Sus scrofa: one gene and its partners. The protein of the gene in region 1 purifies or fractionates together with the protein of each later gene. This does not show direct contact. Links are inferred from orthologs where the notes say so. Each region holds a gene or a part of one and is shown in the gene's direction. Other genes may lie near its edges.

Region 1 (3,645 bases):
TCATTGACTATCTTGTGGTCTCACTGCTTTGTGTGCAGTGTGTGGCTTTCAGTTTCTGGGAACGTGCTAAGCTGTGCCTTAGTGGTCTATTGTGGCTGCCCAGTGAAAGCCCCCCTCAAATTCCAGAGCAGGGTTTGTTGATGTAGCTTGAGTTATGGACATAAGCAACAGAAATTTGCTCTGTTCAGCTTTTCATGCTAGGAGTCTCCCTCTTGTAGAATATGTCAGAGCTTATCCAAGTTCAGCCTCCCCAATCTATAGCACAAGAACCGAAGGTCCATGTGGGTTGACTCATGTCTGTGCTTACGTGATAACTTGCAGCCAAACCAGGTCTTTTTACTCCCGACTCGGGTCAAGATGTCCCAGACACCTTCAAGGGTACTGAGGATATTGTGGGGATGAGGTCATCTCTGCCCTCCGCTTGTTTAAGATTGATTGAATAGAGTTCCTGTCATGGCTCAGTGGTTAACGAACCCTACTAGCATCCATGAGGATTCGGGTTCGATCCCTGGCTTCGCTCAGTGGGTTAAGGATCCAGCGTTGCCGTAAGCTGTGGGGTAGGTCGCAGATGCAGCTCGGATCCTGTGTTGCTGTGGCTGTGGTGTAGGCTGGCAGCTACACCCCCGATTCAACCCCTAGCCTGGGAGCCTCCATATGCCGTGAGTGTGGCCCTAAAAAGACCAAAAAAAAAAAAGATTGATCGAATATATAAATATGAATCACTGTAGTTAGTTTAAGCTCCAATACTAAAGTGCTTGTTAAATCTTTTTTTTTTTTTTTTTTTTTGTCTTTTTGCTATTTCTTTGGTCCGCTCCCGCGGCATATGGAGGTTCCCTGGCTAGGGGTCGAATCGGAGCTGTAGCCCCTGGCCTCCGCCAGAGCCACAGCAACGCGGGATCCGAGCCGCATCTGCAACCTACACCACAGCTCACGGCAACGCCGGATCCTTAACCCACTGAGCAAGGGCAGGGACCGAACCCGCAACCTCATGGTTCCTAGTCGGATTCGTTAACCACTGCGCCACGACAGGAACTCCTGCTTGTTAAATCTTGAAGGATGTGCAGTTTTGCAGCTTTTTAAGCACTTAGAAAATTCACATCTCAAATTGAGTCCAGAAGGTTCCTTTCCTTAAAAATTTGATGGTGTGAGAGTGAAGAAGGGCCTAGGATGGGCGTTCGAGCAAACAGGTTTTGTCCCAGAATTATGGTACTCAGTAGAAACTAGGCTTCAAGAGTGTTCAGGTATTTTCAGATGTTTTCCATTGATTGTGAAATTAGTATGTAGAATTAGTTGAATAAATACCTACTTTAAAATTCAAAAGATACAAAATGGCACATAGGAGAAAGTCCCCTAGTCACCTGGCTATTCTTTTTGGAGGCCTACAGTTTCTTTTCTACCACTTGGCTGCATAAATGGTAGATTGGAGATTGTTGGAGATTGTTTAATATTAGTACATGAAGAGCTTCCTTTTTTTATGGCTAAGTAGAATTTCATTGTATAGATATAGTTTATGTAGATAAAGTTTATATAAATGTAGTTTGCTAACTATAATTTAGTAAGTCCCCCAGTCCTTTTGAACTCTTTTCTCATTTGTAAAAAGGAGGTAACCTCTCCTCAGAATCCTGAGGAGTAAGAGAAATAGCATCTTGGCTAGCGCAGGGTTGAACTCATGAGAGGCACAGAATGAACATTATTTTCTTCCCTTCTTCATGGGTTAGACTAAGGTCTGATGAGACATGATGAAATCACGTGTTCCCGACAGTAATTTTTTTGTAAAGTGCCTTTCCTCTTAATGGCATAGTGAAGGGGCTTGGAGTCCCATGAGGCAGAAATGGAAGCAAATAAAAGCAGAGTGACAGTCTCCCAGTCCCTTGAGCCTTCTAGAGAAGCAGGTGGCAAAGGAAAGGGAATGCACAGCGCCTCACACCCCTCCCCCAACACACACACACACACACACACACACACACACACACACCCCTGATTTTTGTGTTTCCTGCAGCCTTGGGGAGCAGTATTACAAAGATGCCATGGAGCAGTGCCACAATTACAATGCCCGCCTCTGCGCTGAGCGCAGCGTACGCCTGCCTTTCTTGGACTCACAGACTGGGGTAGCCCAAAGCAACTGTTATATCTGGATGGAAAAGCGACACCGGGGTCCAGGTGAGGGTCCCACTCAGGAGCACGAGGAGAAAGAAGCTTCCTCACCTTAGGTGATGAGCCATCTGAAAGGGTTTTCCCTACTGCTTTACACCCATGGGTGACTGGTTTCCCATGATTAGAAGCCCGTCCAGGAAGGATGAAGCATCTTTGCTTTCTGCAGGGCTACACCGCTGAGGCTCCTGTTGGGTTTTGGAGAGCTGTGTGTTAGCCAAGGCCCCTGAGCTTACATCTGTTTTTCTTTTCCATAAACCATGCCTCCCCCAATTGCGAGGCCCTCCCTGTCCATATTCCTCCCTTGCTCTAGAACTCAGTCAGAGCCTACTCACATAGAAAGTGTTTGGTATTTATCATTTTCTATGACTGGGGGTTGGGGCTTGACTTCTTTCTTCCTTCCACAGGATTGGCCTCTGGGCAGCTGTATTCCTACCCTGCCCGGCGCTGGCGGAAAAAGCGGCGCGCTCACCCTCCTGAGGATCCTAGGCTTTCCTTCCCATCTATTAAACCAGGTAAAGCGCACTCCTCCTTGAGCAAGGGCGTGGCCTGAAGCATAGTAAGATGCCTGCTAATCACCTGTTGTATTCCATGCCCCATGCTAGGTCCTAAAGATAATAGGATGAATAAGATGAGATTCTTTTCTTTAAATAACTCAGTCTAATAGAGGAGACAGATAAACAGATAAGTTAATGGTGCCAAGTGAACTACAGTGCCTTGGTTTCTGGGCAGCCATAGACCAGGAGACAGGGACTGGCTTGTGGCTAGTCTAGTCCTGTGTAGACCTGGAGAGGTCCTCTTTCAGCCTTTATGAGCCTCACCTAACCCTGACCTTGCTTGCAGACACAGACCAGACCCTGAAGAAGGAGGGCCTGATCTCTCAGGACGGCAGTAGTTTAGAGGCTCTGCTGCGCACTGACCCCATGGAGAAGCGAGGTGCCCCAGATCCCCGAGTTGATGATGACAGCCTGGGCGAATTTCCTGTGACAAACAGTCGAGCACGGAAGGTACAAGAATAACACTGTGGTTAAAGGGGCTTTGATGGAAACCATCTTCCTCCCCCAGAGGCCACACAGCAGCCCGAATAGAAGTGGACGCTGTGGGCCAGGAGGCGGGTCCCTGGAGTTCTGTTCCTGCACCACCTACCACTCCTTCTCAGTATAGACTCTCACTCATTCACTTTTTTTTTTTTTTTTTGCTTTTTAGGGCTGCACCTGTGACATAAGGAAGTTCCCAGGGGTCGAATCGGAGCTATAGCTCATGGACATAGCCATAGCAACGCTGCATCCCTAACCCACTGAGCAAGGCTAGGGATCAAACCTGAATTCTCATGCATACTAGTCAGAGTCATTTCCGCTGCACCACAACGGGAACTCTGGCATTGATTGGTCTTCTTTTGTCACCAAGGTTTTTTGGTGCTTACCAACAAGGAAGATAGAACTATACATAAAAATAATGAGAGCTAAAAATATTCCAGGTGCTGTACTAAATACT
Region 2 (3,745 bases), on another chromosome or scaffold:
GTGTCTCTCGCTGAATTCCTTCTGCACGGAAGCATAAAGAACCTGAACCTCAGTGAGTCCAGACCTCAGGTGAGTGCTCGTTTAAAACATGGGTTCAAGCCCCAATCTGTGTTCTGGCTAGGTTCAGGCCATTAATACTGTCAGTTTCAAATGGGTCAACAAAATGTGGTGTGTAAGAGTTCCCCGCGTGGCTCAGTGGTAATGAACCCCACTAGTATCCATGAGGATGCAGGTTCAATCCCTGGCCTCGCTCTGTGGGCTAAGGATCCAGCATTGCTGTGAGCTGTGGTGTAGGTGGCAGACTCAGCTCAGATTACAAATTGCTGTGGCTGTGGTGTAGGCCTGCAGCTGCAGCTCCAATTCCACCCCTAGCCTAGGAACCTCCATATGCCACAGGTGCTGCCCAGAAAGACTTAAAAAAAAATGGCATATATTCATCTGTGCATTGCATATATGCAGACAACAGGAATCTTCTCCTCAAAAGGATGGAATTTCTGACACGTTACAGCATGGATGAAGCTCAAGGCCGTTATGCTCAGTGAAATCAGCCAGTCGCCAAAGGGCAAATACAGAATGATTTCATTTGTATGAAGTACTCAAGAATAGTCAGATTCACAGAGACAGCCTGCGGAGTGACCAGAGCGGCTCCTCTGGCTGCAAGTCCAGGAAGGGATTCTCCGGGGCCAGCGTCCCCGCGGAATCGGTAGTACAGCCCGGAGGGACACAGATTAGACCAGGAGCGTGCACATGCATGACGGGGCGGGGCGGGGGCATCCGTCGGAGCCTGTCCTTGAACCTGGAGTGGAACCGAGGCCCTCTCCCCACTGAGAGTGTGTGTGTCTGTCTGTCTGTGGTCCCATGCGCCTAATGTCTGCGGTCACATCGGACCCTCTGAAGGTCTATGTGAATCCGCGGGCGCAGAGGCGCATCTACAGACGAAGGCACATCTGTGCACTGACTAAATGAACATCACAATGGGCCCGGCCAGTGCGCGCCGCGGTGCTCCAAGCGTGGCGATCGCACATTCGGATGGATGGGGCGACGCTGACTGCTCTGATCCCTAACTCATTATTAAGCTCCTCGCTCTTTGCAGACGCTCCCTGCGCCTCCCCCGCTCCCGGCAGCAGCGGCGCAGGCGCCGGGCCGAGCCGAGCGCCGAGCAGGGAGCGAGCGACCGCGCTCCGGGCCGGGGTCCCGGGGGAGCAGGTGAGCGACCCGCGCCGCGCGGCCCCCAGGCCCTTGGAGGAGACGCCGCCCGGCCGCGCTGCGCCGGCGCCCCGGCCTTCCCTGCTTGGCAGTACCCGTCTTGCCTCTACTGGCATCACCCCTCCTTCCTTTGCCTGGCATCCCTCCTCCCCCCCGCCTGGTACCTCCTCGCCTCCCGCCTGCCTGGCATCCCTCACCGCCCCCCCCCCCCGTCTGGCGTTTCCTTCCCCCCTCCCCTTGCCTGGCATTTCCCTGTTCTCCCTCTGCCTGGCACCTCCCTTCTTACCCCTTCCTGGCACCTTCCTCTTACCTGGCACCCCCTTCTCCCTGCCTGGCTCCCCCCCTCTCCTTTCCTGATCTCTCCCCCCACTCCTGACTCCCCTCGCCCCACCGCCCCGCCTGGCACCTCCCCCCACTCCCTTTCTTGCACCTCTTCCCTGACTGGCAAACTCCCATCCAGCCTCCTCTCTGATTCTTCCCCCTCCACGCCTCACCCGGCTTCTTTCCCTCCTCCCCTTACCTGGTCCCTCCCCTCTCCCCCTCCCCTGCATTCCCCCGTTTTCCCTTTGCCTGGCACTCTCCTGCCTGGTACCTTCCTCTCCTCCCTCGTGTCTGGCACCTTCCCTCCTCCCCAACTGCCTTGTACCTACTTGTCCCCAGTGGCCTGTCCCCTCCTCCCTGCCCAGCACTTTCCTGCCCTGCTCCTGACTGGAGCTTTCCTCCCCACCCCCTCCCTACCTGGCATCTCCCCCCCTCCCCCATGCTTGGCACCCCCACCCCACCCCTGCCTGGCCCAACCCCCTCCCCTGCCCTCCTCCTCCCCCTCCCCCCGCCTGTCTCTCCCCTCTCCCCCCTGCCTGGCCCTCTCCCTCCCCCCTGCCTGGCCCCTCCTTCCCTCCCTTGTGCCCCTTCCTCTTGGCCTCCTCTTGCCCAACACCTCTCCCCCATTCAGATTGTCCCTCTTCCTGCCAGGTACCTCCTCCCCTGCCCCAGGCTGGTAACATCCTCCCCTCTTGGCATCTCCCTCCTCTCACTGCCTCCCTGCCTCCTCACCCTTCTCAGAGTCACCCTCTGGCCAACACCCCCAGCACATGCCCCTGAACTGCTCCCAAGCCCCCACACTGCTCCCAAGCTACCACACTGCCCCCTCCTCGTCCCCCAACCTGCTGTCTGCCCACAAGTTGGGTTCTGACCCTAGCCCACCGCCTTCCTCCCTGGCAGGGGGTGACCACGAAGGCTGGGCACACAGGGAGGGCCCACTGTCGGCTGGGCAGACTACAGAGCGGGTTGGCTCTACTGCCACCCACCCCTAGCTGTCCCTTGGGACATCCTTGAGCTCCAGAAGTCATCCAGGTCCCATCCTGGCTGCCGGTCATGCCCTCCCCACCCCAGTGCCCGGCTCTCTCCTCCACTCTTGACAGGACCCCCCAAAGGTGCTGCCTCTGCCAGGGCCTGGGCTCTGCCAGCTCCTTGACTCGCATCCTTCCAGGCCTGACCTGTAGGCCTTGGTCTCTGACTGCTTCCTGCAGTCACGCTGCCCTTCCTTGTGCCACCCAGCCAGGCTGGCCCAGCCCGCCCCCTGCTCCCTTCCTACGCGCCTCCTGCCTTCCTCAGACCTTGTCATGGAGCTGGTCCACACAGCAGGCCCTTGTGAGTCTGGCTCTGGGGCTCGGGGTCTGGCCAGTCCCTCCCACTGCCCTCTCCTTTCAGATCCCCCCCAGAATGGCCCTTGGTGCTGCAGGCACGGTAGGCTCTGGGCCCGGGCACCGAGGGGGCACTGGATGACTCCCCCGCTGCAGGACCCTGCCACCTATGACTCCAGGCCTTCAGCACCCACCCGCCGTGGTACAGGTAGGCGCTGCTGCCCTCCCCCCACCCCACCCCCGCCAGCCCTGGAGCAGGAGCCTCGGGGTTCCACTGAGAGTCACTGGCTCTCAGCCTCTGGTCCTACCCCTGGGCCCCCTCTTGGCCCTTCTGCCCCGAGCTGGACCTGTGGCAGGGCCTCTTCTCATCCCCTACCCCAATTGGAACCTCTGCCCAGGCCCTGCTGGCAGCCACCTCCACACTGGCCCCCCCTCTTGCTCAGGGTCCCCTTACTTTCCACTGTCCCTGGGTCCTGCCTCTTGAAGCCAGTCGGAGCCAGGGACAAGTGAGCCTCCTCTGGCTTGTTCCATGTCCTCCCCACGGACACCCAGACACACGCCTTCTCGCCCCTCACCTGTGCGCGAGCGCACACACACACACACACACACACACACACACACACACACCCCAGCACACAGCTGGGAGGAAACCGCTGATCCTGGCACAACTTGGGCTCTGGAAACCTACCCCCAAACCTGCTATGGCGAACATCCGAAAGCTTTCTGGGACCCGGACAGGGGTTCGTTCCAGGCAGGAGGGGTGGCGTCCTGTGGCAGGGCCTCTGGTGGAGCTGGCCTTGCCCTGCCACCAGGCAGGCCTCCGGCTCAGAGGTGCTGGCTCTCAGGCCCGTAGTGAGCGCGCCAACTCCCGGCAGGCAGCGTGAGAGGAGACAGCC
Region 3 (3,745 bases), on another chromosome or scaffold:
CATTGATTTTATGTTTATTAAATAACATGTTACTTTTTTTTAGTTTTGTCTCACATTGCTTAGAAATGAACTCATATCAAGAGGGTTAATTGTGCACATAACCTCTGAAATACGATGCAGGTATGATGTCATACAGATTTATGAAGACATGAGATAAACCTTTGCAGTCGCTATTATGGCACCAGGAGTTAAATTTCCACGTGCAAGTTGCTGGGAGCATAACGCACCACGCTACGTATTTGAAGACTTTCTCTTCAGAGCGAGGACAGACAAGTGCATGGGAAGGAAAAATGCTCCTTTGGGATTACTTTATGTTTTCATTGATAAGCCTACGTACACATATAAGATGCCTTAAAAAAAGTTATATCAACGTTATTTTTGGGGCAGGTGCAATCAACCTAAGCATTTATTGAGTACCTGCTGTGTACAGGGCACAGCGCTTCTGGAATGCGGCTAACCTTCACTTAAACTCTTTCCTAATTATGCAGTTTAAAGAAGTTGTGGGAATTACATTGACGGCCCGAAATCAAGGCAGAGAGGCTAACATGCTGAAAAATTACATAACTCTTGGGAGAGGCAGTGCTTTTGCACAGATTGCCCAAATATCTTCTTTCTCCGTCGGCTCCTCGTAACCTTTGAGGCCAACAGACAACTTTGTTCCCCAGCCCTTCTCCCTCTTTTGTCTGCTCGTCAGACTCGTTTTCCACCTTTGAATCGTTCCTTTTAGACGTGAAAACAAACACGCGAACGCCCGGTTGGCAAGGAGACGGAGGCACGAGGGGAAAGTGCAGCCTCCCGTCGCCCCACGCCGCCGCGCGCCCGGCGCCGGCCGAGCGGCCCGAGCCCCCGGCCCGGGGCCGCCGGTGCCCGCGAGGCTGCGCCCGGGCGGGCAGGCGGGCGGAGGGCGCCGCGGGCGGCGGCGGCCCGGGCCGAGTCCAGTCCGCGTTTTGCGAGTGCGCACGAGTAATCAGAGAGAAGTGGATAATAGTTGCTCGGGCTCGCTCGGCTCCCTCTCATGCCATGCTGGGCCCGATAGGCTCAGTGAGTCGTGTATTTACCCATATCCGGGTTAGAGAGGAAAAGAGAAAAGTTTCATTTAAACCTGAACTAAAAACTTTCACCATGAAATCACACAGCGGGAACAGGCCCAGACCGTAAGGCGTGACTCCCGGTTCGGCTCCGGCGGGGCCTGTGGAGGGGGAGGGGGCTCGCTCGATTCCCGTCGGGGCGTGTGGATGCGCACAGGAGGGGCCGCAGACTAAAAAGTGGGTTTTATTGTCTCCCCCCGCCCCCCGCCCGGCCTCGCCACGCCGCGGCGATCATGGCCGCGCGGGCAGCAGCGGCGGCGCGGGCGCGGGCGGGCAGCGGCGAGCGGCGGGCGCCCCCCGGGCCGCGGCCGGCGCTCGGGGCCCGGGACCTGGAGGCGGGGGCGCGCGGCGCGGCGGCGGCGGCGGCGGCACCGGGACCCATGCTGGGGGGCGGCGGCGACGGCGGCGGCCTGAATAATGTGCACCACCACCCCCTGCACCCCCGTCACGAACTGAACATGGCCCATAACGCGAGCGCGGCGGCCGCCGCCGCCAGCACTAACAGCGCCAAGAGCGGCGGCTCCGAGGCGGCTCTGAAGGAGGGTGGAAGCGCCGCCGCGCTGTCCTCCTCCTCCTCCGCGGCGGCGTCCTCCTCTTCCTCCTCGTTGGGCCCGGGCTCGGCCATGGAGACGGGGCTGCTCCCCAACCACAAACTGAAAACCGTTGGCGAAGCCCCCGCCGCACCGCCCCACCAGCAGCACCACCACCACCACCATGCCCACCACCACCACCACCATGCCCACCACCTCCACCACCACCACCACGCACTACAGCAGCAGCTAAACCAGTTCCAGCAGCAGCAGCAGCAACAGCAGCAGCAGCAGCAACATCCCATTTCCAACAACAACAGCCTCAGCGGCGCGGGCGGCGGCACGGCTCAGCCCGGTCCCGACATGGAGCAGCCGCAACATGGAGGCGCCAAGGACAGTGCCGCGGGCAGCCAGGCCGACCCCCCGGGCCAGCCTCTGCTGAGCAAGCCGGGCGACGAGGACGACGCGCCGCCCAAGATGGGGGAGCCGGCAGGCGGCCGCTACGAGCAGCCGGGCCTGGGCGCCCTGGGCGCGCAGCCGCCGCCGGTCGCTGTGCCCGGGGGCGGCAGCAGTGGCGGCGGCCCGGCGGCCGTCTCGGAGTTTAATAATTACTATGGCAGCGCTGCCCCTGCTAGCGGCGGCCCCGGCGGCCGCGCTGGGCCTTGCTTTGATCAACATGGCGGACAACAAAGCCCCGGGATGGGGATGATGCACTCCGCCTCAGCCACCGCCGGAGCCCCCAACAGCATGGACCCCCTGCAGAACTCCCACGAAGGGTACCCCAACAGCCAGTACAACCATTATCCGGGCTACAGCCGGCCCAGCGCGGGCGGCGGCGGCGGCGGCGGCGGTGGCGGAGGAGGAGGAGGAGGAGGAGGAGGAGGAGGAGGAGGAGGCAGCGGAGGAGGAGGAGGAGGAGGAGGAGCAGGAGCGGGAGCTGTGGCGGCGGCGGCCGCGGCGGCGGCAGCAGCAGCAGGAGGCGGCGGCGGCGGCTATGGGGGCTCGTCCTCGGGGTACGGGGTGCTGAGCTCCCCCCGGCAGCAGGGCGGCGGCATGATGATGGGCCCCGGGGGCGGCGGGGCCGCGAGCCTCAGCAAGGCGGCCGCCGGCGCGGCGGCGGGGGGCTTCCAGCGCTTCGCCGGGCAGAACCAGCACCCGTCGGGGGCCACCCCGACCCTCAACCAGCTGCTCACCTCGCCCAGCCCCATGATGAGGAGCTACGGCGGCAGCTACCCCGACTACAGCAGCCCCAGCGCGCCGCCGCCGCCGCCGCCGCCGTCGCAGCCCCAGTCCCAGGCGGCGGCGGCGGGGGCGGCGGCGGGCGGCCAGCAGGCGGCCGCGGGCATGGGCTTGGGCAAGGACATGGGCGCCCAGTACGCCGCTGCCAGCCCGGCCTGGGCGGCCGCGCAACAAAGGAGCCACCCGGCGATGAGCCCCGGCACCCCCGGCCCGACCATGGGCAGATCCCAGGTAACCCCCGCGCCGGTCGGGCCTGCTTCCGCCGCGGCGGCCTCGCGGCGCGCCGCGAGCCCTAGTTTCTTTCTTTCCGCGTACTTTTTCTGCGTCTTCTGTCGGGGGAGGCGGGGGCGAGACGCCCAAAGCCATTTTAACTCGCGGCTGCCTCCTTCCGAGGCCGGGCAGCGCGCGGGGTCCGACTGCGCGGCGCGGGGCCCGGGGCCTGGGGAGGGGGTCTGGCCGAGGCCCGGGACGGGCGCCGCGGTTGCCGGTCGCGCAGCACCCGCCCGGCCACCCCACCCCAGGCGCCGAGCCGCGCGTGCGGGAGTCGGGGACCGCGCCGCCGGGAAGCCGTGTGGGCGCCGGGGACCGTTCGGGCAGCTTTTTCAACAAAATAGGCGCTCCCGGCCGGTACGGTCGGGGAAGGAAGATTGACCCCCTCTTCTCGGTTAGCGCCAACAATGAGCTAGAACTGGGAAAAGAATGAGGAACTTTGTCCTACCTCCGGCCACACTACGTTCCCTCTTAGCTTATTAGGTGAAGGCAGGAAAAATAGGTTAGCTTTGTGGCAGCCGAGTGTGTTTCGTAGTTGTGCCCAGCCATTCGGAGATATCGGATGCGGGCTTTGAGTTTGTGTAGTAGCAAAAATAATACCCACGTTTACAGCGATGT

The links.
Region 2: the proteins of DPF2 (region 1) and SMARCD3 purify together in Homo sapiens (affinity purification with mass spectrometry; 3 studies listed by BioGRID and IntAct, counting the BioPlex papers as one, with this or other methods). This does not show direct contact. The link is inferred for Sus scrofa from reciprocal best matches to the Homo sapiens genes DPF2 and SMARCD3.
Region 3: the proteins of DPF2 (region 1) and ARID1B purify together in Homo sapiens (affinity purification with mass spectrometry; 7 studies listed by BioGRID and IntAct, counting the BioPlex papers as one, with this or other methods). This does not show direct contact. The link is inferred for Sus scrofa from reciprocal best matches to the Homo sapiens genes DPF2 and ARID1B.

What each region holds. Positions count from the first base shown.
Region 1 is NC_010444.4:6,879,862-6,883,506, reverse strand, and holds part of DPF2 (zinc finger protein ubi-d4), read left to right. Parts: intron 1-1,999; coding exon 2,000-2,160; intron 2,161-2,558; coding exon 2,559-2,666; intron 2,667-2,994; coding exon 2,995-3,158; intron 3,159-3,645. UniProt on the Homo sapiens protein: Plays an active role in transcriptional regulation by binding modified histones H3 and H4. Is a negative regulator of myeloid differentiation of hematopoietic progenitor cells. Might also have a role in the development and maturation of lymphoid cells.
Region 2 is NC_010460.4:5,957,361-5,961,105, forward strand, and holds the start of SMARCD3 (SWI/SNF-related matrix-associated actin-dependent regulator of chromatin subfamily D member 3), read left to right. Parts: upstream 1-1,105; 5' UTR 1,106-1,206; intron 1,207-2,916; 5' UTR 2,917-3,018; coding exon 3,019-3,057; intron 3,058-3,745. UniProt on the Homo sapiens protein: Involved in transcriptional activation and repression of select genes by chromatin remodeling (alteration of DNA-nucleosome topology).
Region 3 is NC_010443.5:10,225,079-10,228,823, reverse strand, and holds the start of ARID1B (AT-rich interactive domain-containing protein 1B), read left to right. Parts: upstream 1-1,443; 5' UTR 1,444-1,468; coding exon 1,469-3,088; intron 3,089-3,745. UniProt on the Homo sapiens protein: Involved in transcriptional activation and repression of select genes by chromatin remodeling (alteration of DNA-nucleosome topology).